Linked DNA regions of Mytilus edulis. The protein of the gene in region 3 binds, or shares a complex with, the protein of the main gene of each other region. Links are inferred from orthologs where the notes say so. Each region holds a gene or a part of one and is shown on either strand. Other genes may lie near its edges. The genes, in order: dynein regulatory complex protein 10-like, dynein regulatory complex protein 9-like, dynein regulatory complex subunit 4-like and F-box and leucine-rich repeat protein 13-like.

Region 1 (7,143 bases), on a different chromosome or scaffold from region 3:
TTAACAGACACATGTGATTAAAATAGCCCATTTGGGCCATGTGAGCTAATAATATTAGACACAAACTGTAAATTCTGTTGGAATATTTTAAAATATTAAATAATAAAAGCTCTAGATTGAAACGAAAATCCTTGAACTTTATTTATAAAACACTTAGCTAGTACATAATTTTAGTTCAGTTAAAATTTAATTGGAATTTTGAAAATAAGGATAAAATTTAATCAATATTTATTTTAACTGGTTGCTTCCTGTCACTCAGAGAAACTAAAGTAATTTAAATTCTCAAGTGTTTGTTTAAGAGGGAAATTATAAACACTTAAGATTGATGTGAACTCTTTAAAATAACTGTTCTTTAGGAAGATCTAGAAGGAAAAGAAAACTCTATTTTAATCCATTTCCATAATTATGTTTGAATCTGTGAAACAGTGAAATATAAATGCATTCTTAAAAACAAGTTATATGATTGTAATAAAATTGAGAATGGAAATGGGGAATGTGTCAAAGAGACAACAACCCGACCAAATAAAAAACAACAGCAGAGGGTCACCAACAGGTCTTCAATGTAGTGAGAAGTCAGTTTGTGTCTAAAACCTGAACTCTGATTGATGTAAAACTTAAATTTACACAATGTGTCAAACCAGTGAACCATGAAATATGGGTACCTTGACCATAATAGAGTATTGTTCTCCCCAAAATTCCATAGCACACAATATTATACTGCTGTATATTCAATGACCCCTCTATCAGCATGATTACAAATAATCGCTTCAACAATATGGTAAAATTTAATATTAACAAACATACCTTCTGACCCCTCTGCAGTAGTATGTATCTATGAGAAACAATGGCCTCAGTGATCTTGTGACTCTAAAATGGTTATGCTGTCGTATTATCACAACTATAGTCTCTATAAATACGATGATCAAAGTACAACTCTGAAAAATAATTTTATTACTAACTTTCAGTTAAATTTGCACTATCATTAAAACAAGAATGTGTCCATATTACACAGATGCCCCACTCGCATTATCCTTTTCTATGTTCAGTGGACCTTGAAATTTTGCATCAATCTTACTTTAATTTTGCATTAAAATTAGAAAGATCATATCATAGGGTACAGGTATACTTAGTTTCAAGTTGATTGGACTTCAACTTCTTTAAAAACTACGTATATCTTGACCAAAAACTTTAACCTGAAGCAGGACAAACAAACGAAAGGAGTAACAAACGAACAGACGCACACACAGAAAAACTGGGGCATAAAAATAATCATTTGTCTATAAATAAGTATTTCTATTGATACAAAAAAAAATCATTAATTAATCTACATACCTTTATAAGAGTTCTTTTATGTTTGATGAATGTTCTGAATCCTAGCCACTTCATGCGTATTCCTAATTCTAACGCTAATATCAAAAGCCCAAACAATTCCAGTGATCCATGAACCTGTAAAATACATCTAATACAAGAACACATTTTATACCTGACTTAACTGTACATTTTCCAGGAGCCATAATCTATGTTATTGTTGGACAAAGGTATTTCATAAATTAAATTGAGAAAACTAATAAATGGCTTTATATATACATGTATGTTTATGCTTGCTTTCTGCTTATTCAGTCTGATTTTCATGATTCTGTCATGATTTGAATTATTTATGGTTAAAAGTTGATATCTGACCACTTACAATATTTTTTTAAAGAATAAGACTAGCACATCTTACAAAGGCAATGAAAAACATACAATGAAAATGATACTGTATTTTCCTTCCCTTCATAAAAGACTCAGTTTAAATTTGCTGGAAATTTTTATAATCAAAAGACTTGAGCTTTCGGAAAATGCTTGTTGAATTTACCAGTCAATAATTAAAAAGACATTGACAATTAACAATTATATGGTAACTTACCCCTACAGGGAGAGTTAAAAATGGCACTGCTGGTCGTTCACAGGCAGCTAATCCCATTACCAGCAGTGCTGCAAATAAGTCTAAAGCATAGAAAATTTTCTTGTGAGCAATTTTATATGCTGGCAATGCATTAAAGTCTCTGGGATGTGTACTATATTTATCATTGTTTTCCCCTTCCTGCAGATATATAGCTGCCTCTTGGTAATTCAGTTCCCAAGTTTTATACTGTTTATGTCGTCTAGTGATGGCATGGTATGGAGTGCCCTGGCCCTCCAAAATCTGATGGTTAGATCCAAAACCATTGTTTACATCATAAATAGAGTCACCATTACTGTGTATTCTGTTTGATGGAACATCATATTGGTCTTCATCTGAAATAGACATTAAAAACCAAAATAAACAGTGTTCTAGCTACAACCTTTGAAGAGGGCAGCTTCCGCCCTTTTTTATTGACGCCCGTTCCTTTTTTCTGTTGTTCCTCGGGCATCATACTTTTTATTACTGAACAACGAAGAGCTTTTTACATCTTATTGATATGTATAGTTTTATTTCATTAAAATTGATCAAAGGTTTCTATATATAAACCTGAAACGACCCCAGATGTCGATTCCTGAACAGTTAGCAAATTTAGACACAAAATTCAAGCTTGAGAATGTCTGAATTTGAATTTTGATCATTTTTTTTTTTTTTTACATAATTACGTTTCTGACACAGAAATAGAATTGGTCTGACAAGGATCTTACAAATTTATTGTGCAACCCTGTGCAATTGAAGATTTCTTGTTGAAACTTTTCAAAAAATTTAAAATTTGAAAAATTTTGAAAAAAATTTGAACTACATGTAAAAAAAATAGAGAACCCCCCCCCCTCTATCTTTTCGAATTCACAATGGTGCAATTACCCCCAAACTCAATCCTAGCCTTTCCTTTGTAGTATGGAACCTTGTAGTACAATTTCAAAGAGATCCATTCACTTAAACACAAGTTATTGCCTGGATTTAACTACAAAAATACTTGTTTTTGGCCCTTAGGTTTATAAACTGTTGGCACCAAAACCGTGCAAAATAAATTCCAGCCTTCTACTTGTGGTATTAAACATTGTGGTACAATTTCAGAGCAATCAAAATATTTAATACACTAGAAATTATTTTGAAACTAGAAAAATGCTTGTTTTGGGCCCCTTTTATCTATTAAAACGGTTGGGACCATCATCCCCATAATACACCTTATCGCTATTGCTGGAAATCACACAGGTTCCCGTAAAATTTTGACTTCATAAAACAAAATGTCTGACGCCACAATGGAAAAGTGATTGTTGTTGACGTCAAAAGTTCAAGCGGACGGGTCAGCCGGGAATAGCGATAAGGTGTATAAATCCTAACCTTCCTTTTTGTGGATTTGAACCTTCTGAATACATTTCATACAGATCTATTCACTTAAACTAAAGTTATTGTCTGGAAACCAAATTAATGTGTCTTAGGAAACGACACTGACATCAGGGCATCAAACTACCCAATAAAAACACACCCTGCAATAATTGAATCTTACCTGCCAAATCAATTTTCTCAAAATTTTGTAAATTTGCTTTCATGCTTAAGCATTAGTGACTAGTGTGGTATATTGTGACAGTTGACAGGCTGTGCGTCTCTTTCTTTGGATCATGGAAGTGACTGTGTATTTTCAAACTTGTCAGGTTTTATTTATCACTGGTTCATTTGGACTAATTTAACCCTTGTTATCTACTCAAAAATAAACTATTATCTCACTGACTTTCCGCAACACTATTTTTTCAATGTAGCAATTAAAATGCAATGTCACTAGCCAGTATAAATAGTCAATCTTAAGTGTTTCAAAAAGAGATGCACATTAATAATAAATACCTGAGGGTGAAAATCCATTTTCATTTCTGATTAATAGGGGACTTTCAATATTACCCGCCATATTGTTTTCATTTTTGATAATCAAGGATAAGTATAGAGGATTGCGAATGTATCATGTGTATTCTAAAAATATTCCGAACAAAGGTTATTTCCGCTTAAAAGTAGTTCCATGACAACTTAATAAAATCATGAGCAACATTTTTTGCTTTATTCCCTTAGGAGACTAATATCTTCTTTTTTTTTCTTTTTTTTAAAACTGTATTTTTCATTTCATCGAACTATTTTGTAGATTTATGCTATTCAAAAAAGAGAGACACAGAAATTGTAGAAGTACTATTTGTTGCTAGGGAATGCGTATTAAACAAATTCAATGTAATGCGGCTGCAAGACCGATAAACAGTGAATTGGTAATGTTGACGATGTAAATTAGGAATTATATACATATAAGCCTATTGTAAACGTTGTTATCGCCGTTATATTGTGCGAAAATGGCCACCACAGCAATGCGAACACAGACATTAACAGGTTCAATTGCCACAGAGCCAATTTTAAACATGAAACTAACAGTTCCCGTACCCCCTCAAAAAGGAGGACCAGGGAAAATAAGAAACAGACTCCGTTTAGATCCAGCGAGGGCATTAGAACCTGCAAGAAAAAAAATAGCCACAGTTGAAGCACAGCGTGTTATGTCAGTATTTGAGGACACAATACAAAGAATAGAAATTTCCTCAATGATCCCATACATTCTTGAAAATTTGGACAGATTTCGAATAAGCTTTGGGGTAGAACTTTGCAGCTTGCTAGAGAACCACAGTATTATAATCGGTAGTTACAATGAGATCAAAGAACAGCTTGATAGGCAAATGCAAAGGAATAGAATACGATCAGCCAGTTCTGTCAGAAGTGATGCATCACAAGAGCAACAAAATGATATGAATGAAACTCAACCTACTGCTGAAGATGACGAAGATGAAGATTCCGTTTATGGAGGCCAAAGTCCCCCACAGAGTCCTGTTAATAAGCCTCCATCTAGAGGTAGTAGTGCTAGCAGTCGAAGATCTAATCCTTCTGTTGCTAGTTTTGACAGCCAAACAGAACGTACAATGCGGAATTTGAGTCTGGTAGCTCAGCAACTTAGTTCCTCATGCAAAAACATTCTCAGACAATTTCAAATAAATGGTAGTGCATTTAATTCTGTTAAGACCCACTTTCATGCACGACCTAAAGAGAGTACCCAGCTTTTATCTTACATGAATGATTTGAGAGATATCTTACTGAATAAACTGTTAACAACACCTGAGGAAGAAAAAGAGAGAATGGCTTACATCCAGGAAGTTTCAGAAAGAGAGAGAAACAATGCTACTATCATTGCAAAGATGGAAGAAGAACTTGATGCTGCAGTTGCTGATAAGGAAGAAGAGGTATAATATTTAGATGGATTTAAAAATACTTGGCAAATTTTTTGACTCCAACATGTCAGTCTACATGCATCATGTTTATTGATACATTGTGGATGATATGCATTTATTAAGAGCACTGAATTATTGTATTTCAAATCATACTGGCATTCTCAATGATAAAATGTTCTCCATTTTTAGTTATAAAGTTACAGAAGTTGAATTTTTTTTAAGATTCTTGAATCAATATTTTAAACTCAAAAACATGTAAAACTATATATAATCAAACATGTCTCATAAAATTTAAAAAGAATACTATAATTTGCCTCACTTGGTTTACAATGATGTCTAACTTTTGCAAAGAGAACCTTTATTGTAAAAGAGAAACATTTTAAAATTTTAATGACTTTCAACTACAGATACATGTATATGTTGCCACCACAAAATTGTGTGAATAAATTAGCAATATATACTCACAATCATCATGTACATGTAGCACAAACAGCAGAAACAAATTATTGTAGTCTGTAAAAGAGTTATTGTCAACAGTAATAGTTATACAGAAAATTATAGAAGATATGATGACAATACACATAATTAACAGCGCCTAGTGATGTTTATAGTCTGACCAGTTTGTGTTATAGTAATAGGGGTTGGCAAGAAGTTCTATTTATTGCACATCACATTATTTTATTTAAGTTCAAAATGTATACATGTATGTATGAATTTAAACACATTATAATAATATAAATTGTATAATGATATGACACATTATTTCATATCATACATGTCATAGATACCAGCTAGATTATTTCTTTTAAACATGTGTGTATAAAGATTCTTTCTTTCTTTTATAGATGAAGAAGAAAAATGATGTAATAAAAAAGCTACAGACAGAGTTACAACAGATTATAAACTTTTCCAAAGAAAATATAGGAAGGATTAAGAATGAACAGGACAAACAAGAATCAGCTGATAAAAAGAACCATGAAGGCAAAGTACAAAGGCTGCAGAATGAAATAGTACAACTTAAAACCCAGCTTCAAAACCTTGTATTGGAGCATAGAGAAAAGGAACAAGATCTAAGAAGGGTAAGATACATTTTGATGCTGTAAATATCTCAAATACATACATGTAGCATTAGTATAATATATACAATGCTATTTACGAGTTAGCATATTTAAACGACGAATCCGCAGGATGAGTTCTATACATGTAAATATGTTAATGAGTAAGGCGTGGTGTATATGTTTTGTAACATCATTCAAAAGTGGCCTGGTGATTTTTTATCCAATAAAAACCCAGTGGGAATGTTGTTCCAGCCCCCTGCTTAACGTGTGCACGTGAAAATCAATCCAGTCAATTTTTTCGAAAATCAGCCGGTTCATTCAGAACAGAGTCGTAACAAAGAGGCAGGGTTTAAATCATGGTTTAACATGAAAAATATCAGATTAAACCATAGTCTAAACTCCACCTATCTACATGAAGTTGCAAGCACAAAGTATGTCATGACTTTTTTTAATGGAATAACATATCAATCTTTCTATAATAACCATGGTTTTTCAGAAACCGAACTATTAAGCAGAATATCACGTAAAAACTTCAAAGGAAAAATGCCATATTATGTTACAAGATATATATAAATCTTGTTGAACAAAGTCAAAATAATTCTATTGTAGTATTAATAATATAATAACTGGCCTATAAAAATAACCAATACAATGACATTTATCATTTCAAACTGCTATTTATTCAATTTTTTGGTACCAAATTCAAAGATGACATTAGCATGATTATGCATACATTGAATTTAGCTGAATTTATCATTGAAAAATTTACATATATTCAGATTTCACATGATGTTGAATTCTGATTTAAAAATATTAAGATTGGGTATATGATTACTGTGTACATGTACTTAAAATGTATAATTATGAGACAATTACAATCCGTTCGAAAACA
Region 2 (7,147 bases), on a different chromosome or scaffold from region 3:
GTTTGTGGGTTAAGTTTAAATCGTAATTAAGGTGTGTTCCGGTTACCGCCGGTTAAAAATAAATATATTTGATAAAAATAAATACTGTGAAGTTTCGAGTAATCTATATAGTTAAGGTACTGGATAATCCTGGAAAGTATAAATTTCCAGTTTAAAATACGAAAATTAATCGAACAAGTACCAACATCAACAAAATACAGCAGAAGAAAACAGAGATCTCACTTCGTTGTGTAGCTATCTATATAATGTTGGTTAATATCTTTTTAATTGTGAATATAAAAACTTCATGTCTACCCGCAATTGAAAGACCTTTCCGATCATATAAAGCCATGGTCAGTATTTTATCATTTGAACATGTATGACTATGCCAATATATATACTAGCCAAGATTTAAAAAAAGTCTTATGACCCGAGTATTGTTTTCTCACAAGGACAAATCTTAAAGTTATCAACTTCTACTGTAAATCTAATACTTTATATATGCACTTAAAAAAAACAAGGTTTAATGTCTATACCAAAAACGTAAACTGAAACTGAATTCAGTGATGTATATTTGGCAGTCAGGATATTTCATATATAGTTATATACGTAAAGCCTTATTTAACATGGTCCATCGATGCCAATTTGCAATCCAACACATTGTATGTGCTAAAATTTTATTTTGCACTCTTTGCTTTTACATTCGATAAGATGTGACGAATCATCCGATTTACACGAACAATATATCTCACTTTCAAAATGTGAGGACAAAAATCATCGGGTATATTATCTGTCTCAAATTCATCCATTGTCAAAGTGTTTGTTTGGAATTAATGATTGTATGTCTCGTTCTATTCATCTACACACGTGTGTATAAACTGTTTCCTTAGGATTTATGACAACATCCGCTTTCTTCTTGTATTTCCGTACCCCGGAAACGACCGACACATGACTTTATCGCAATGTGCCACACACTGGTGTATTAATATAGTGCCATGTTTCAAGTTAATTAACATGTCATTAAATGGTACGCGGCATCGCAGATGAACCGTTTGAAGTCGGGTCGTAGTAGTTCCTGTAGGTATGGCAAACCAATGGGAGATAACTCCAAATTACCCTAAATAATTGTACCCAGATGTGTGTAAAAATAAAATCTTTGGGTGACCTCCAATTACGGTCTTTTATTAACTTGTTAAGTCTCAGAAGGTTCTGATTGCTTTTGATAGATATTATATGAATATTCATGATTCTGTATATTATAATTTTCGGGAATATGATGAAATATTTGAGGTACAAACAAGGGTTTGAAAGTTACATTTGTTTCAAAAAAATACAAGGGAACTTTATACAGCCATAAAATGTACTTTTTTATTAAGTTTAATATATTAATTAAATAATAAGGTCCAAAAAATAAATCTAGATAGCTGTGTTCATATCAAAATTATTTTTTATAAATTACCCTCCTTTTTGTGTATACAGAGTTATTTCCCTTGCATGGACAATTTTTGGTTAAGTTTTGATTGGAATTCAGCGGTGATAGTTTTTTTTTTTGCATTATACAGCCAGTTTATTGCCATTTAACGATAGTTTAACCACTTGCCATTGCACACGAGGTAGTAAGGATACTGAATAATGTGGTTTAACAACAATCAATATACATGACTGTATGTATTTTCAACATGTTCAACTAAAAACATACATAGGAATCCATGCAGTAGCGGCAGTTCAATTCGAATGCTATTCACATTTAATGCATTTCGAACTTCAGTCCTGAATAAAATTGGTTTACAGATTTCACTGTATAAGTATTGTAACTGATATACAGATATGAACATGATGAATTTACTTTACTTTTATACATACAGGTATTTACAGTACATAATCTGACATAATTATTTTCTTTGAAATTTCTCAAAATAAAAATAATGTTTTTATTTTAGTCATGTAGAATAATTGTTAGAAGGTTGTTGTTTATTTTTATTTATAAGCATTCACTATACATGCCATATAAGATTAAGATATATTAATTAAATAGAATGTTAATGAAAAGGGAACATTCTAAAACTATCACATGTATCATGACTATACAAAACTTTTCTTGTCTCTCATGGTACAACTGATTTTTATAGTTCATTCTTATGTTGTACTGTCACAGGTCAGGGGGAGGATTGGGCGTCCGCTAACATGTCTTCTGACATCAGACTCGGACTTCTCTTGAATTGAATTTTAAATGTACGTATTGTTATGCGTTTACTTTTCTACATTGGCTAGAGGTATAGGGGGAGGGTTGAGATCTCATAAACATGTTTAACCCCGCCACATTTTTGCGTCTGTCCCAAGTAAGGAACCTCTGGTCTTTGTTAGTCTTGTATTATTTTAATTTTAGTTTCTTGTGTACAATTTGGATATTAGTATGGCGTTCATTATCACTGAACTGGTGTATATTTGTTTAGGGGCCAGCTGAAGGACGCCTCCGGGTGTGGGATTTTCTCGTTGCATTGAAGACCTGTTGGTGACCTTCTGCTGTTGTTTTTTCAGTGGCCGGGTTGTTGTCTCTTTGATACATTCCCCATTTCCATTCTCAATTTTATTAACACCGCCACATTCTGTATGTATGTGCCTGTTCAAAGTCAGGAGCCTGTAATTCAGTAGTTGTTGTTTGTTTATGTGTTAAATATTTGTTTTTCATTTATTTTTTTTACATAAGTTAGGCTGTTAGTTTTCTCATTTGAATTGTTTTACATTTGTCATTTCGGGGCCATTTATAGCTGATATGCGGTATGGGCTTTGCTCATTGTTGAAGGCTGTACGGTGACCTATAGTTGTTAATTTCTGTGTCATTTGGTCTCTTGTGGAGAGTCATGTCTCAGATGGCAATCATACCACATCTTTTTTTATAGTCACACACACTAACATACATTTGTATATAAAGAGTAATATTCATATTTATATTTTGTTTCTTTACATTCAAATGTTTATAAAGTTTTACTTTACATTTTCAATATACCTGATGCTCTGAAAAAAGGAATATGTAAAGGTATCGTCATGTTATGTGACTTTGGACGATACAATTTCATGAGAGTGGTCGACATTTTCATGCTTTATGCTTCTATTTTGACCAAAAACCTGAATATGGAGGATTGAAATTGACTAACAAGATGTAAAAGAAGCAATATAAACAAAACTATAACCCAAATGATTAAAAAAATATATTTTATTATTTTTTAAAGAGAGGAAACAGTTTTTCCAGAATAGTAAAAAATTTTCGTTTTGAAAAGTTGCAATTTCTTCGTTGTTATTATGTGTATAGATAAAAGTGAAACTGTTTTGAAAATGTCTTCACAATGCCTTTTAAATGAGGTAAAGTTTTCTAAGATCGGTTGATTTAAAAAAAATCACTTTCCGTACCTAGTTCCTGTCAATATAATACTTCCATGGTAAAACTAAATATTATTATACAAGTGAAGAGTGGCAAAAGATACCAGAGGGATATTCAAACTTATTGAGAACAAACTGAAAAACTCATGGCTAAAAAAGAAATAAACAAATAATACTTAACAAGAAACAACATTAAGAACATAGAAAACGACTTAGAAACAACACCACAAAAAACAGGGTGCTCTGAACATTGATTTCAATACTATTCTTAAGCGATTGTCCATACCAAATTATACTAATCAAGTGTAACAGGTGCGATATATATATATACACGTTGTTGGTACTATCATCAACATTTTTAGCACATATTTATCTTTTTTTTAAATGAATCTTGGAATATGCGACAATGCAAACTGTCGCAAAAAGAGGAATAATAGTTTGTTCTCTACGAAGATCTTCCTTTTTACATTATGGGGAATATCAGTCAAGTTGTCATTGATTTAAAGAAAAATATCGTGAAGATCTATAGTAAATAATCCTTGTTAAGACCTTAAATCTGCGTATATCAGTCGTTTGAAGCCCCATCCGTTTATTCTAGTATGAACAATGACTTATGTATAAAATAAAATTTAAGTTTGCTTTAATAAATATAAATTATTATTTAAGGAAAGCATTATTTTGTCATCATAAACATATATTTTCATCATGCAGACCTGCTGAAAATTGAAAAAGGAAACGGAAGTTGATTTTTTTCTTAACTTCCGGTTTCGGCGCATGCCACCTAGCAACATGTAAACATAATGTTATGCCAGTTTCAGTAAAAAAAAAGGTATTTTATGGCATTATTAATGAGATAAGGGAAGCAAAAATTCACAAATTGCATGGCAAATATCTCAAGATATATATGAATCACTAAAATGTCATTATTACAAGTAGTTTTACACGATATCGTGCTGTGCAGAGTGGTTAAGGCAATATGATCATATGGCAATGATAAAGTATTTTAAGCATGTTATTATTGTTAAAGTTCCAGATGCCAGAGACAAATTATTTCATCAAATATACTTCATAACAGGACAAATTCCAACAGATCTAGACAATTTATTAACAATCAATTTGCCAAATGCAGAAAATATCAATCAACTATTAGCGGAGTACATAGAGGAAACAAACCGTTTTAGTGGATAATTTGATACAAATTTCTTTAAATTTTTTATATTTTTAATTTTTCATGCCATTTCAATAACCTAATAAACCATTTTTTAGATTTATTTCACTTCATACAATAATTCTATAATATTTTTAAAGCGCCACCTACAATATATAAGTACAAAGGAGAAACTACATTTGTGATAATTATTTTACAAGAGAGGATAATTTACAAGAGAGATTACTCTGTCATCACGACAAAGATTGAAGATAAAGTTCCTGTGTTGTCTGTGAAATTAATATTGACCACACTTTTATTCATACATGTATAGAACAACAGCAGATTTGAAAAATTATAATAACTTATTTTCTTTTGTTTGTAATTTTCTGTATTCTGTTGCACAGACACTTGTCTCAGAAAAAAAAATGCTATATACCCTTATATAACACAAGGTATTTAACTCGCATTTTTTAAACATGTCAGAATGTCACGAAATTCCGTCATATACCTATTTCACAGTTGTTAACCCCACTAAAACTTGTAATTTCGTAAATCTAAATTGATTTATCTACACAATGGTGTACATTATATCACACCTACTTTTGTTGTCAGAATCATCCGTAGCAATCCTACCAAAGTATGTCAATCGTTATTATTTTGTCTACCGACTACAAGTGCCTGTGTTCTGTTGTCAATGTCGCTGTTGACACTGGATTGTTTCCCTTGTAAACGTTAAAGTCTCGCGTGTACAATTTCACTCCAGATGGTAAACAACTCACATGTACTTTAGATATATAACTTATACATGTAGGTGGCAACTGAACTTAATATATTTTGACAAAAAATTTAATTGTAATTTTTGATTTGTAACCGGAGGGCATGAATTAAACAATTTTATTACAAAATTGCTTAGTTTCATACCTGGGATATGAGCCCTCTGAGTCAGGAATATGACAGTTCTTGTCCATTCGTTTTTGATGTGTTTTGTCATTTGATTTTGCCATGTGATTATGGACTTTCCGATTAGATTTTCCTCTGAGTTCAGTATTTTTGTGATTTTACTTTTTATAAGGCAGCACACTAACTTAATGAGCTTGAACTTCCTTAGCTCAATCGCTTACAGCTGACTAAGTATCTAACCACATTTACCAAGGGAAGCAATTCACCCGTCAAAGATTTATTCTGATGCTAGAGTTTTGCTGATTTTGAGTGCTAATAGTTTTTGCTATTTTAGTGCTTGCATTAGCCTTAACTTAACTCTATATGATTTTATGCTAAACTAATTCTTTTATTTGACAATTGTGTATGTTTAAAACTATTGTGTGTTTTGTGTTGTCCTATTGTGTCTGAATGCACTGTATATGTACTTTAATTGATTATCACTTTATGTATGTCTGTAATAAGCTTGCTCTGAGCTTATGTTGTATTGTTGACTGCTAAACAATTCATTTCAAGTTGAATTCGTTCTAAACCTATTTGTCTAAGATTTAATCAATTCATTCCAACTGATTTTGTTCATTATTACCCACAGGGACTTAATAATTTGTTCCTACTTTTTTAAATCAGTGTACAGTGTGAGTTGAAGTAAATATCAATTCAAAGTTTATGTTATATATATTTCATATAAAACTTATTTGAATAATTCAATTGATTTGATTGTAATATTTATTTTTAGGAATTGTTGAGAAAGAGACACTTAGTTTTGCTGTCCACATACTTGTAGAGTGAAGAAAAAAGACAAAGCCAAAGATGTCATTAACACAAAGTAATAACTTTTAAATTGTGTATCACTATTCATTTACGTATCTCATTCTGAAGCCCCATGCTATATTTGTTGTAAACTATATATAGGTATACAGGTAAACCTCAAGACTAACTTGTCATGAATCTTGGTCCATTCTCCCAATGTCACATTTGCCTCCATTCGTTTTTGAATCCCACAACTTTGCACCCTGCGTTCATTTTCACCATTATTAAAGGTTTCCTTTTCAGTTATTTTTAAATTGTATTTTAGTAACCATAGTAACTGTAAGTAAATCTTACGTAATATTACGTAAATGTATAAGCATACCATGACATGTTGCTACTTAAAAACAAATTTTCAAATCAATTTTTGTCGAGCCTGCAACTTTTGTTGCAGAAAGCTCGACATAGTGATAGTGATGTGGCGGCGGCGTTACTTAACTTCTTAAAAGCTTTATATTTTAAAAGGTAGAAGACCTGGATGCTTCATACTTTGTATATAGATGCCTCATGTTACGAACTTTCCGTCATTCACATGTCCAATGTCCTTGACCTCATTTTCATGGTTCAGTGACTACTTGAAAAAAAAGTTAAGATTTTTTGTAATGTTAAATTCTCTCTTATTATAAGTAATTGGATAACTATATTTGGTATGTGCGTACCTTGCAAGGTCCTCATGCCCATCAGACAGTTTTCACTTGTCCTCGAACTCATTTCATGGATCAGTGAACAAGTATAAAAAAGAAGATGTGGTATGATTGCCAATGAGACAACTATTCACAAAAGACCAAAATGACACAGACATTAACAACTATAGGTCACCTTATAGGTTTTTCTTATACTATATGCAATAGGTCTACTATATTTGGTGTATGGAATGATTGTAAGGTGTACATG
Region 3 (7,373 bases):
GAAGGGAAAGAGGTCAGGGTAATCTTCTCTAGTCGAGCTTTCGACCGAGTTTGGCATAAAGGCTTACTTTATAAGCTTAGAAAAATAGGAATTAATGGTAACTTGTTACTTTGGTTTGAAAGCTATTTAAACTCAAGAAGGCAACAGGTTGTCATTGGTGGAGAAACGTCCAACAACGAACATGTCTCAGCTGGGGTACCCCAAGGGTCTATCTTGGGTCCTATTTTATTTCTCATTTATGTTAATGACATAATTAATGACATCGAATCTGATATAAAACTTTTTGCTGATGACACCTCAATTTATATAGTGGTTGATATCGAATATGAAGCGGCAGAAATGCTAAATAAAGATATTGAGAAAATACATACTTGGTCTAAACAATGGCTTGTCTATTTCAACCCAAACAAAACAGAAATAATGACCATTTCAAAAAGGCACCATTAACCCCACCACCCGCCAGTGTATATGAATAATAATATAATAAAAGAAGTTGAGTTGCACAAGCATTTAGAGGTTATTATAAATGAAGATGGAAGCTGGAATAACCATGTAAAAATGATTATTAATAAGGCTATTCCTAGATTAGCATTATTCCGAAAGTTAAAGTTTAAATTTAAAAGGAAAAATTTAGAAACTATTTATTGATCTTTCATACGCCCAGTCTTAGAATATGGGGACATTGTCTGGGATAACATACTAAATTAATTAAAAACATCTCTGGAAAACTTACAACTAGAAGCAGCAAGAATCGATACAGGTGGTACTAAGATATCATCGAGACGGTTGCTGTGTACGATGAAACCGGTTGGGAAACTCCAGTCTCGACGTGATAAACATAAGTTATTAAAATTTCATCAAATGTTTCACGGAGATTATCTTTCTGTGTTAGTTCCAAATCAGAGACTAGATCTACACGACCACAGGACTAGGGGTCTTCAAATTTACAAACTGTATTATGCAGAACAAGCTATTATCAAAAGTCATTTCTACCAGCCGTAGTAAACCTTTGGAATAATATTCCACACGACATTCGTCTAAATCAATCAAAATCGGGTTTTAAGACTTATCTCTCTCAAAATAATAATAAAATACCATTGAACTTTCACTTAGGCTGTAGAAGAGAACAGACATGTTAAGCAAGACTAAGACTCCAGAGTAGTGTTCTAAGGGACCATCTATTAAAAAAAATCTAATTGAGAACGCACTGTGTACCTGTGGTCGAGTAGAAACTACCTCTCATTATTTCTTCAAATGTCCAAAATATAATGAAATTCGAAGGGATACTATCGGGACGATCTCCTGTTCTAATCTTAAGATTATCTTATATGGGGACAGTCTAAAAGCTGACGAGGACAATGTGCAAATGTTTCATAAAGTTTCTGAATACACAAATAAAACAAAACGTTTTGAAAGTTAATCTAGTATATGTATATATATATATATTATATATATAGACTTTTTTTTAATATGATGTAAAATCGAGTGGATTGCCCGGCGTAATTGACAGTATAGTGAGTCTATAGTCGGACGTGTGTGTTGGTTCCAGTGACTGTCTGGAAAAGTAAATAAGAGTTGACTGTTTTCGTGTTTTTTTTCCCTTTTTTTCCACATTTTTTTTTTTTCACTTATTTTATTTGTTGTATTTTTTTGCGTGTGTGTGTTGGTATTTATTCATTTTATTATATGCTACCATAAACTGAATATACTGTTGGCACGTAATATTGTTTGTTAAATAGATGGTGTTTTTTTTTAGGGAGACGGATTTATAAAAGTTTTTCCAAACTTGTTTCCGAATCCCATATTTGAACTTTATGTAACATTGTAATATTTATCTTGACATTTTTTATTAATAAATACTGTTTAAACTAACTGTTCAGTTTCTTGTATGTTCCTCTATATTAATTATGGAGCACTACTCATATGGTATAAACTGTAGCAACTTTTTACACATTAAAACACAAGAGGGCATATAAACTTATGAACAGATAAATGAGAAAAGGCAAAACTTTTATTAATTCATAAGATAGTCATTACAATTTTAAACCATAAAATAAAATAATCATTAAAAGTTGTGTAAGATCTGAATATAATAACAAGTAAAAATTTTAAATTAATAGTTTAAATTAGTTTTCAATTTAAATTCAATTGGCTAGTTAAAGGTGCCGTTCTTACATCAGAATTTATAATGAAAAGATTATTTAACTAGAGGCTCTAAAGAGCCTGTGTCGCTCACCTTGGTCTCTGTGAATATTAAAGGAAGCAGATAGATAGATGCATGACAAAATTGTGTTTTGGTGATGGTGATGTGTTTGTACATCTTACTTTACTGAACATTCTTGCTGCTTAAAATCATCTCTATCTATAATGAACTTGGCCCATTAGTTTCAGTGGAAAATGTTAGTAAAAATTTACAAATTTTATGAAAATTGTTAAAAATTGACTATGAAGAACAATAACTCCTAAGGGGTCAATTGACCATTTCGGTCATGTTGACTTATTTGTAAATCTTACTTTGCTGAACATTATTGTTGTTTACAGTTTATCTCTATCAATAATAATATTCAAGATAATGACCAAAAACAGCAAAATTTCCTTAAAACTAACAATTCAGGGTCAGCAACCCAATAACGGGATGTCCGATTCATCTAAAAATTTCCGAGCAGATAAATGTTGACCTGATAAACAATTTTACCCCCATGTCAGATTTGCTCTAAATGCTTTGGGTTTTGAGTTATAAGCCAAAAACTGCATTTTACCCCATGTTCTATTTTTAGCCATGACGGCCATCTTGGTTTGATGGCCGGGTCACCGGACATATTTTCCAAACTAACCCAAAAGATGATTGTGGCCAAGTTTGGATTAATTTGGCCCTGTAGTTTTAGAGGAGAAGATTTTTGTAAAATATTACTAAGATTTACGAAAAATGGTTAAAAATTGACTATAAAGGGCAATAACTCCGAAAGGGGTCAACTGACCATTTCAGTCATGTTGACTTATTTGTAAATCTTACTTTGCTGAACATTATTGCTGTTTACTGTTTATCTCCATCTATAAAAATATTCAAGATAATAACCAAAAAACAGCAAAATTTCCTTAAAATTACTAATTCAGGGGCAGCAACCCAACAACGGGTTATCCGATTCATCTGAAAATTTCAGGGCAGATAGATCTTCACCTGTTTAACAATTCTACCCCATGTCAGATTTGCTCTAAATGCTTTGGTTTTTGAGTTATAAGCCAAAAACTGTATTTTACCCCTATGTTCTATTTTTAGCCATGGTGGCAATCTTGGATGGTTGGCCGGTCACCGGACACATTTTTTAAACTAGTTACCCCAATGATGATTGTGGCCAAGTTTGGTTTAATTTGGCCCAGTAGTTTCAGAGAAGAAGATTTTTGTAAAAGTTAACGACGATGACGACGACGGACGACGGACGACGACGGACGCCGGACGCCAAGTGATGAGAAAAGCTCACTTGGCCTTTTAGGCCAGGTGAGCTAAAAAGGGTGTTATGTAAATGAGTGAAGGTTTGAGCAAATCAACGTATATACATAAGTACCACACGCCATAGTATTACTCTTTAGCAATCACGGACGGCTTAAATACGGAAAATAAAAATAAATCTAGATTACACACCAAGGATTTTGTATTTATTTGTTTAGTTTATTTGCTATAAATCAGTAACAGTGGAATTACCAAAACTTTTATAAGGGGGGGGGGGCTGACTGAACTAAGGTGATTCGCTATATAATCAACCAAATTTTTCACGAAAGGGGTGTCCGGGTAATATTTATTTGAAAAATAATGATTTTAGTTGAAATAATAGGACAAATTTTTTTAGTGGAAACTCACTTTTGTCCACTGACTGTATATCACAGCAAGTTTCTTCTTCCGTCATAATTACTAAGTTCAACTTCTCAACAAGTTCAAGATCCCCAAGAAATCAAGGTCTATGTATGCCGTATAATTTTTGAAATTTTTCAAAGTCTCTCGAGCATGTTTGGGTTGATCTGAGTATAGTAGTCTCAGGGTTGATACGGACCTGAATTGGTACAGACGCTTTTAAGTTATAAACACACAAATATATTGAAAAATTAACAATAACAGAGACACATAACCTGAAAAGATATACGTTATTTTGCGTCTAACGATAAACGGGTGCCGTCGCCAGAAATTAGATACGTGTTTTAGCGTTTTCTTTTTAACAGTTACCTATTTACTTTAGAAAACCAGTATTCTAAAATTTACGTAATTTTTAATATATTTTTCTCTCGAATAAATTTATGATGATAAAACTATTTTTCACTGTCTTTGACATTTCGATTGGTCCAAAAATCAAATAAAACGTACACAGCTAATTATCTCGTTGTCTTGTACGAGATTATGTGTTTATTTACATCCGGGGACCGTCACCTGGACAACAAGTACATCAGAAAGGGGGAACATACATTTAACATTTTGAAAACAAAGAATCCAGGAACATACTGAACAATGGTAGGTTTATGGATGACTCTTAGTGAGATATTCAATCCCTCTTCCTGTCTTACCCGTTTTTTTTTAATTCTACTACACAAAAACGACAAAACAACATGAAATTTAAACATGTTATGCAGTTTTTGTATTTGAAATACACATGATATTCTAAACCAATATTTTGATAAATTGGTTATTTTCCTCTTTTTTAAACTTTTATTACATTATTGTGTATAGTTTATATGGTAGTATGTTATTGACCTGATCATTTATCAAATAATCTGTAAAGAGGATTCATTGCAAATAGATTTATCTTTATCTGCTGACTCAGTGACTGTTCAACCTGTCTACCTATACTATAGTATGTAAATAAAAAGACAACCTGTTGACTTATTTCTCTTTCAAACTGATTGACCGCTTTTTCTTCAGATGGAACTACTATCTGTTTAGTGTAAGAAAATAATTAACTGATTGAAACATTGGTTTTGGTGTCTGACACTTTAATTTCCGAGGCCTAAAACTTTCAAAAATAGAGTAAACCCACGGACTTATTACTACTGATCATGCTTACTATTGAAATTTGCATAGGAAACACCTTCTTCCAGCTTTACCATTTGTGTTGATTTGGAAAGTAGAGGACCATATGATAAGTGTGTAAAAACTGTGGAGTTATTGAATGTATACATGTATGGTATCGGGTCCATTTGCCTTAATAACATGTTCGCCCTAGGTCCGTTTGCCCGTAGAGTCTGTTCGTCCTACTAAAATGATATTCAGGTCATTGAATTCGAAGTTGGTTAAACTTATTTAGATAATTATGTGGTACATATTTTTGAAATTTAGGGAAACGTAAGGAATCATTTAAAAGTTTATGGCTTTTTTAGGATTGATAATTGTTCAATGACATAATAATTCTCACTGATTGTTGTGATACTTGTCTTTTGATGGATTAATAATAAAAACAAACATTTTGTTATGATAAACCAGGAACTTTCTATACTAACTAATTACTAAATTAATACATTGTATTCCAGTATACTATGCAAATCAAAGGGAAAATAATATATATTGGTTGCTGCAATACAAATATTCGGTAAATTTTCAACAAACTTTAACATATTCTGTTCAAATAATTAACATTATGCAACTGGACAACAATTAAAAAAAAAGGTACATGTACGTAGGGCAAACGGACCCTGGGCAAACAGGTATCTGGGCGAACAGGTACTAGGGCGAACGTGAATCAGGGCGGACGGACCCAGATTCAATGTAAGTAATGTATAAAATTTTCAAAGAACTTATTTAAAAGATTTTTTACCCAGAGGATCCACATCACAAAAAGATTTTCAAGGTGTGCTAATTTATAGAAGAATGCAACTCACTTTGAACCCAGAAAATTTAACTATGTATGTGAAAAATGTCTCCACTTCAATACAAGCCATCGTACATATCTAAGTTAAGATATAGACTGAGCTACAGAAGAAATTGTTAACATTACTGGCTATTTAAAATCAATTAATCATCCTGACCCATCTATTAGCATCTCTTGGTCTTTCAGGTCAAGAAATATAGAGCAACAAATCATCAAAATTGACACTTAGTCTTTATGTACCTGATATATCTTTTTTTAAATGAATTTTCATTTTTGCAGCCTCCTAAAAAGAAGAGTGGAAAGAAGGGAAAGAAAGGGAAGAAATCTGGAAAGGCCAAATCACCAACAGTTATAGATGGAATCTCAACAGAAGAAATGTCTAAAGAACAGGTATACATGTAGACTTCTGCTTAAAATAAAGTGTCAGAAGATACCAGGGATATTCAAACTCACAAACACAAATGAAATATCACAGCAAAAAAACAAAGACTGAGCAATATGGACCTATCCAAAAGATGATAAAAGACAACGAAAACACAAACAAATATACTTGCAATATTTTTACCTTGTAGTTGGAATAATTTATATTTTGTTTATCTCTAAATTCTTGAAGATTTTTTTGATTGCAAATTATGTTGCACAAGTTTATAAAATGCAAATTGTTTACATCATGTTAATATTGCAAAATTTTTTGTTTCATTAAAAAGATCAAAATGTTTGACTAGTATCATTACAAAAAGTTAAATGTTTTAATTACAGTTGGAAGAACACATACAAAGATTACGTGAGGAATTGGAACGTGAAAGAGAAGAGAGAAACTACTTCCAATTGGAAAGAGACAAGGTCAACACATTCTGGGAAATCACAAAAAGACAGTTAGAAGAGAAGAAAGCAGAACTTAGAAATAAAGACAGAGAAATGGAGGACTCAGAAGAAAGACATCAGACCGAAATAAAAGTAAATTTAAGAATTGTTTTTCAATCATATTCTTTTAACTATCTTTACATTTCCATGTATGCTTCTTTCATAATTTCCAAAAGCTACTTTGTCATGTTGTAGAAATAAATTGAAATGAAACATTCAAAGTCAGATATTTTGTAAAAATTTTGACAAGATTGCTTTCATTATAACTATTACTGACATAATGTGTTTACAATATTTTCTGAATATCTTTATAAAAGAATGTCTCTTCGTTTGTAAAATAAATGCAAACAGGAATTTCTAAATTTAAACTATCAATAATTATCTTCTTCAAATATTTTGTATTCAAACATGAAAATAAAGTAGAATCTGTTATATGAACATGTAGATTTGTATTATATTTAATTATGACAGAATGAGATTTGATGAGTATGATTTTATCAGTGAAAATCATATCTAAATAAAAATATTTAATGATTTACCATTTTATATTTTCAGGTTTACAAACAAAAAGTGAAGCATTTACTGTATGAACATCAGAAGAATATAACAACAATAAAGTCACAAAATGTATCTGCCCTGAAATTGGCACAAAATGATCAA
Region 4 (6,858 bases), on a different chromosome or scaffold from region 3:
ATCACTCTTGTACTGGCCTGATCATTGAACTCAAATAAAGATAAAAAAAAAAAGGGTTATATCGTTGGTAGCATTACCATTTTCTTTATCGTAGATATATTCATGAAGATAAAAGTTTAAACTACTATACTAACCTTAGTTTTCCTCTGTTTTGTCGTCACCTTGACAAAAAATGAATTTTCTCAGCATGGTTTATGGAAATGATTGTCTCTAATAAATACGTCATTCCACTTTGACCATACTAATATCAGTTATCTAACACACTTGTCCTTCTGTAGTGCATTCCATGACTAGTAAAGCACATCTGATAAGATTAAAGTAATGTGGTATTAGTCATTTTCTTATTTCAATGAATGTTTTCAAACATCTAGAACACTAACATATTTTTGGTAAGTATTTCAGGTTTGAAACTTGGATTAAGATTTGTCCCATTGGCACTCATACCACATCTTATATCTCCTTAAAATGTTAATTGGAAGAATGAAATTTGCAATGAGATTTGTTGCAATTGTTCCTTCATGTCTCTTAAAGTTTAGTTACAGTATGTATAATGGACATAACACGACTTTATAAGATATTTCATGTACACCAGTTCACAAACGTATGTGCTTAAGCTATAACTAAGATTGCCATTCACCCTCTCACTCACAGAGACTTGGTTAGCAGATTAGAATTTTGTTTGTCAATGTTTTTTTCAAATCTTTTTTAGTTTTTCCTGTCTATATATTTGCTAGAAAATATTTATGCTAACGTTAAAAACGTTAATAATGTAATACAAATAGACTAGAAATACAAAAAAAGATTTGGAAAAAAAATGCTAAACAAAATTTTAATCTGCTTACCAAGTCATTGTAATTATAACGAAACTTTTGTCTTGTTTAATTTTTGTTTAAAGCTTTACATACAGGAATAAATCAATAACTATGGTCCAATATTTCAGTGCAAAAATCTTTAAGATTTCATGACATAATATAAATAGTTCATTAAGTTCTTTTTGTTACTAGTACTATAAGTGCTTAGTTCCCATCGCGCTCGGGACTCGAACCCGGGACCTCTGTGTTACAAAGCAGCGCGGCATAACGACTAAGCTAAAGAAGTACTTTCTTAGCTCAACCGCTCACGGCTGACTAAGTCTCTATCACAAGTATTATGCCATCTTTGCATTTATCTTATTAATGCATTTACTAATAAAATCAAATAATATGTGAACAATTAAAATTCCGGGAAAAGTATACAGATATGTATGTATATATATATATATATGTTCAATATGATAAAAAAAAATCTAAGCCAACGTTGGATTCAAAGATCGATGGAAAAATATTTATAATAAAACTTCTTGTACTCTTACGTGAGGGGGGGCAAGGGGTTTAACTGTTATGCTGTTATGGGGCAATTTAATTCTTTGTTATCTGTTATTTTGAAAATGTATTTGCTGTTAGCTGTTATTGTCTTATTCTTTGTTAGCTGTTATTGGGCTTTTAGTTTTTTTGTTATCTGTTATTGTGATAATGTATTTGCTGTTAACTGTTATTGAAAATTGGAATGTTAGCATTTTTTTTGACAGTCAATATTCGGTATAAATTGAAGATCATTGGCCATTGGGGTCTAACACTACTAATATGTTTGTCCTGTATTCAGAGAAGGATTCCATTAACATATACCCATCTCAGAAGTGAGGTCCAGGACAATTCAAGTATATCTTATGATTATCCTTTGTAATAAATTCCATTTTTTTTTTATGAATGTGTATTTAGAATTATCTTAATTTTTTGTATGAGAATAATGTTCCTTGTTTTCCGTACGAACATATTAAATTAAAACAATTCTTAATATGACAAAAAGGAAAACATATGGCTAGGAATATCTGACAAGGATCTCAATTAAGGACTAGGTCCTAACAACCACTTAACCTTTTATATAATATGGTACATAGACACAGCTCTGTAATTCTTTTCAAAGCAGAACCAAATGCATTGTACAATGAAAGTTCCAACCATGTACTTGGGTCCGAAGCTGCACATAACTCATTACAAACAAAGAGTTATTTCGTTTCAAGTTATTGTTTCCCTATTAAACTATGTATTCTACTTACTAGTACATTTGGTACAATCAAAAACCTCAGCTGATAAAAAATTGTTCAAATAAGGCCTTTGAAAATAGTGGAATAAATTGCTTTTAGAGTGTCAAAATTCGTTCAAAGTACTTGATAAATTGCATGCTTATAATTGGTGCTTTTGATTTTTCTACCCTATATACCACTTTGCCTCATAGTTTTATTAAGGAAAATTCACACACCTCATTAAATGGTCATTTAGAAAAAGTCAGAATATTCAAACTCTTTTAGGTCACTTTTTTGATTAGCAACAAAGGGAGCCTCAGTCAATATATATATATAAACAATACACCAATGTTTCATGAGAACTGCTGAAAACGTTTTTGTGTTAATGTCTGAAAACTGGAAAATCACCCCTTTTTAATTAATAAAACCCGTTAACTCGGAAACGTAAAATCTAAAATTTATAAAAATTGAAAGTGACCTCATGTTAATAGATATAAACGATAAATTCACCAAAATTCCTTGCTTTGTGAAAGCATTTTTGAGATATTATCAGAAAACTGAAAAAAAAACACCAATTTTATTGAATAAAAACCCATTACCCAGAAACTTAAAATCTAAAATTTATAGAAAAAAAAAGAAAAAAAAAAAGGGAGCGTCAATAGATATAAACAATTTCCCAAAGTTTAATGCAAATGGTTATAGAGTTTTTGAGTTAATGTCCGACATGTTGACAACAGACGGACAACAGTATACCATAATACGTTCCGTAAACGAGAGTATACAAAATATTATAATATATTGAGTAGTAATTTAAACATATTCTAGATACATAAATTAATACTAAAACATAGTCATAAAAAATGGAATGCATTACAAAGGATTATATCCGTAATAAGAAATACTGATTTGTCAAAGACCGAATTATTTTAATATTTCATTTACTGTTATCTGTTTTTGTCCATTTTAATTCCTTGTTATCTGTTATGAGCCAAATCAATTTGCTGTTTTGCTGTTTTTGGGACCCCCCTTGCCCCCCCCCTCTTACGTGACCACTGTCGGGTTTGGTTAGGAGAGGGTTGTGATCCCGCTAACATCTTCAACCCCGCCACATTCATAATGCAAGTGTCTGTCCCAAGTCAGAAGCCTTTAATTCAGTGGTTGTTTGTTGATGTGTTACATTTTTGTTTTTCGTTTATTTTTTTTACATAAATTAGGCCGTTAGTTTCCTCGTTTAAATTGTTTGCAGTATGGAATTTGCTCATTGTTGAAGGCCGTACGGTAACCTATAGTTGTTAATTTCTATGTCAGTGTCATTTGGTCTCTTGTGTGGAGTTGTCTCATTGGCAATCATACCACATCTTCTTTTTTTTATGATATTGACAACGCCAATGCCCATGCGGCAAAAAAAAAAAAACACAAAAAAAACAAAAAAAAACAAAAAAAACCTGACAAATAATAGTATACAAGACACAACACAGAAAACTAAAGATTGTGCAGCACGATCCCCACCAATAATGTGGGATGATCACAGGTTAAGTGAAAACATTTTTGTTTTAATCTCACTGATTCAATTTTGAAATTCCTGAAACTCTGATTTTGAAAAATAATAATTTTAGTTATTTATGGAAAACTTTTAGTGTGTCCAAGTTTGAATAAGTTCCCCCTCCTAAAAGGATATTGTCTATAATATGTTCCATAATAAGAAGGAAATACATATACATAGAAGATTATTCCACAATTCCTTCCGGAAATTGCAAGGTGCGCTACGCTATTGACTTGAATATTATAATCATTATCCGGGATATTTCGTTGCTACACAAACAACATGGATTCCAAAAATACGATAATTTGATTTATTTTCAGTTCACGCTGCTTGTTATATAAAGTTCCGAAAATGGCTGCATCTATGAAATCCTCTAACCCTGAATTAAAGACTTATCTGCGGTCAAATAAGTTACCAGATGTTTATGAGGTATGCATTTAAAGATGCAATAAATTTGGCTATAACTTCATAAGATCATTTTGTCTTTTATTTGTATTGTTTAAAAAAATGACAGGTGACAAGTATCTTTAATATAAGCAAAATGTCCTGGTCCTGACCATAATGTCAAATCTGACACAACTTGTACTTATAGCATTGTTCCTCACATGGTACAAAATGTACAGTGACGACTGAGACGACTGATGTTATTTATACTTATAGAAAATTTCGTACAGTAATTTATATAGTTTTTTAGATGCAGAATAGAGATACAGGGCTTGCAAGTTCTTGAAATGGTGCTGTACTTCCTATATGTGCTTCTACAATTTGAGACCTATTTTGTAGTTTTATTTATTTGTTGGTGTTTCTACTGATTTTATGATGTTTGGGATGTCAAACAGCATAGCAGGACCCATTATTAAATAGGTTTACTGTGCATATGAGAAACATAGAAAAAAGAAAGCCTGAGATACTTAATTTCACTACCATAAATATACATGGATGTACCAGCGAGATTAGAAACTGCAATATTTGGATCTGCAGGCAGTACGTGCTCTCAATGAGCCAAAGAAGATCTCCAGTATTCTCCACTGACTAGACCAGCTAAATCAGTAAATGTAAACTGTTGACTCCTTTTGTATCTCCAATTATGCATCACACTCCATCCTTTCTTCGTTTTTAACAGCCAATCATATATGAATTCTATTTGCTGCACACCCTTTTGGTGTTGATGGCAGAATTATCTTAGATTGTTTCAGTTCATTGATAACTTTTAAAGACAATAGACCAGCGTCACCGGAAAAAACCTCGTCAATTATGTGTGCCTTTATGACATCATTTACCAGAAAGAGGGGATCGCCTGTATCCCTACTTCATAAACATTCATCAAGCGTCTTAGTGATCATCAGTGTGCATGCAGGATAAACTAAAAATAATGTTTGTTCTTCAGGTACTTAATCGCAATTCCCTAATGGCAGCAGTGCTGAAAGACAATTCTGAGAATTCAATTTGCCGAATAATTCGTGCAATATAGCTTTTTATCCTGCAATTGGGTGTTCTACTATACAGATACAGCCCTACAGATATCGCTATGCTGTATCTGTATACTACATGTATACAAATATCACTTTAAAGCTCCACCCACTGCCGACTGAGTATTGTATGAACCTGCATGACCTCAGAATGTGTATTGCAGTCGCATTCCAATGACGTATCAATTGCGAATTAACGATTACTTTTATACATTCTGTTTGTTTTCACACATTTCTTTAGAGCAATAAAAATGGCACCAGTTTTCTGATAACATACACACATGATGTCTTTTCTAAGATGACAACTATCGATTTCAAAACTTGAATGTGTATGATTGTGTAACAAAAATAACCATGTCAATTTCAGTATGCATGTTTAGCTAATGTCGAATCTGAAGCATAGGACAACTCATACACTCCTGTTTCAAATTGGACAATGTTTTGTTATTTGTTTTTACTGTTGAAATAAGTTGTTATGTTATAATTATTCACCTTGAGCGATGTATTACTGTTGACCATTCAAGATTCTTTTTTTGCGAAACCGTCTTCAGCTGAATGTGTGACTACTGTATCTTATTACTACACGGGCTGAAAGGGATTTCAAATAGAAAATAAATGCAAAACATGTGTTTTTGTGTCTTTCAAAACACAAATTATATACAGAATTAATTGCAGGATAAACTACAATAGCTGTTGAGTGTCTTTAGATATCAGCTGTATTTGTACTCGGCTCGAAACAGGTGTAATAGCTCGCTAAAAGCATGCATACACCTTGTTTCCTAGCCTCCTACAAAAACTGCTGATATTTAAAGACACTAAACAGTTATTGTCTATATAATTTTCCAACCACTCGCTCAACATTAGATGGAAGTGACGACACCCCTAAACGCAAGAAATGCTGTTCACTAAAACCAAAGTTTCTGAGGGAATGCATCAAACTCGAAAGTTGTCTATTAAATGAATTTATAGCATGACATATTATATTATATAAAAACAAAATTACAAATATATTGTACCTCTAGAAGGCTTTTTTTAAATTTGTTGTTGAAGTGCTTTCTTGTTCAATGTTGATATTAAATCATGATTCTTTTTTTACCATTTATCAACTCTTTTTATAGGCACTACTCACTGGACTTGCAATTATGTGTCCTGAAGATCCCTTACAGTTTTTACTGGACAAACTCAAGTTTCTGACTGAAGGTGGTCTGGAAGAACTTAATTGGTATGTATATACATATGTACAATAATGGACAATTTACAACAGATTTTGATTTTGCCTGTCAATCAAGTTATCTTTGCATATTAAAGTCTCCTGTTATTAATCCTAACTGATCTTGACAAAAATTTATGTATTGTGTGTTGCAATGCATAACAGCTGTACTGTCTTTCCATACATGTACAAGTTTTCAAGGTATTAGGTTAGGATTGTCAAATAGATATAAAACTTTATTTGTAGAAAAAGTTTATTTACTTTTACATGTATACATGTTACGATAAGTGGAATGCAGATGAGTCATCTTTTCAATTTGATTTACTGGTAAAATAAATTAATATACAAGTTTGTTGTTTTGGAGGTGTCAGACTGTAATTGTATAAAAGGATAAAAGTAATTAAGACTTTCAATTATAGAAAAAGTTTGTATACTTGAATTGTAAATTAATACATGAAACCATTAGTCCTTAAAAAAAAATATGATGTTTTTGTATAATAATGAAACTAAGGTGGGAAATAATAAACTTTAAGGTAATAAGATTTTATTGATATGTATATTTTCAGGGATATGT

The links.
Region 1: dynein regulatory complex subunit 4-like (region 3) and dynein regulatory complex protein 10-like share a complex: the UniProt entries of both Homo sapiens proteins name them as parts of the nexin-dynein regulatory complex. The link is inferred for Mytilus edulis from reciprocal best matches to the Homo sapiens genes DRC4 and DRC10.
Region 2: dynein regulatory complex subunit 4-like (region 3) and dynein regulatory complex protein 9-like share a complex: the UniProt entries of both Homo sapiens proteins name them as parts of the nexin-dynein regulatory complex. The link is inferred for Mytilus edulis from reciprocal best matches to the Homo sapiens genes DRC4 and DRC9.
Region 4: dynein regulatory complex subunit 4-like (region 3) and F-box and leucine-rich repeat protein 13-like share a complex: the UniProt entries of both Homo sapiens proteins name them as parts of the nexin-dynein regulatory complex. The link is inferred for Mytilus edulis from reciprocal best matches to the Homo sapiens genes DRC4 and FBXL13.

What each region holds. Positions count from the first base shown.
Region 1 is NC_092349.1:64,492,378-64,499,520, forward strand, and holds the start of dynein regulatory complex protein 10-like, read left to right. Parts: upstream 1-4,143; 5' UTR 4,144-4,272; coding exon 4,273-5,205; intron 5,206-6,038; coding exon 6,039-6,272; intron 6,273-7,143. Other genes in the region: two pore channel protein 1-like, read right to left, coding at 805-935, 1,333-1,446, 1,907-2,277, 3,785-3,845. UniProt on the Homo sapiens protein: Component of the nexin-dynein regulatory complex (N-DRC), a key regulator of ciliary/flagellar motility which maintains the alignment and integrity of the distal axoneme and regulates microtubule sliding in motile axonemes.
Region 2 is NC_092346.1:87,338,841-87,345,987, reverse strand, and holds the start of dynein regulatory complex protein 9-like, read left to right. Parts: upstream 1-4,130; 5' UTR 4,131-4,184; intron 4,185-6,181; 5' UTR 6,182-6,256; coding exon 6,257-6,272; intron 6,273-7,147. UniProt on the Homo sapiens protein: Component of the nexin-dynein regulatory complex (N-DRC), a key regulator of ciliary/flagellar motility which maintains the alignment and integrity of the distal axoneme and regulates microtubule sliding in motile axonemes.
Region 3 is NC_092348.1:7,363,776-7,371,148, forward strand, and holds the start of dynein regulatory complex subunit 4-like, read left to right. Parts: upstream 1-4,372; 5' UTR 4,373-4,495; coding exon 4,496-4,498; intron 4,499-6,128; coding exon 6,129-6,239; intron 6,240-6,608; coding exon 6,609-6,806; intron 6,807-7,268; coding exon 7,269-7,373. UniProt on the Homo sapiens protein: Component of the nexin-dynein regulatory complex (N-DRC), a key regulator of ciliary/flagellar motility which maintains the alignment and integrity of the distal axoneme and regulates microtubule sliding in motile axonemes.
Region 4 is NC_092344.1:89,673,744-89,680,601, reverse strand, and holds the start of F-box and leucine-rich repeat protein 13-like, read left to right. Parts: upstream 1-3,857; 5' UTR 3,858-3,956; coding exon 3,957-4,034; intron 4,035-6,192; coding exon 6,193-6,296; intron 6,297-6,850; coding exon 6,851-6,858. UniProt on the Homo sapiens protein: Substrate-recognition component of the SCF (SKP1-CUL1-F-box protein)-type E3 ubiquitin ligase complex.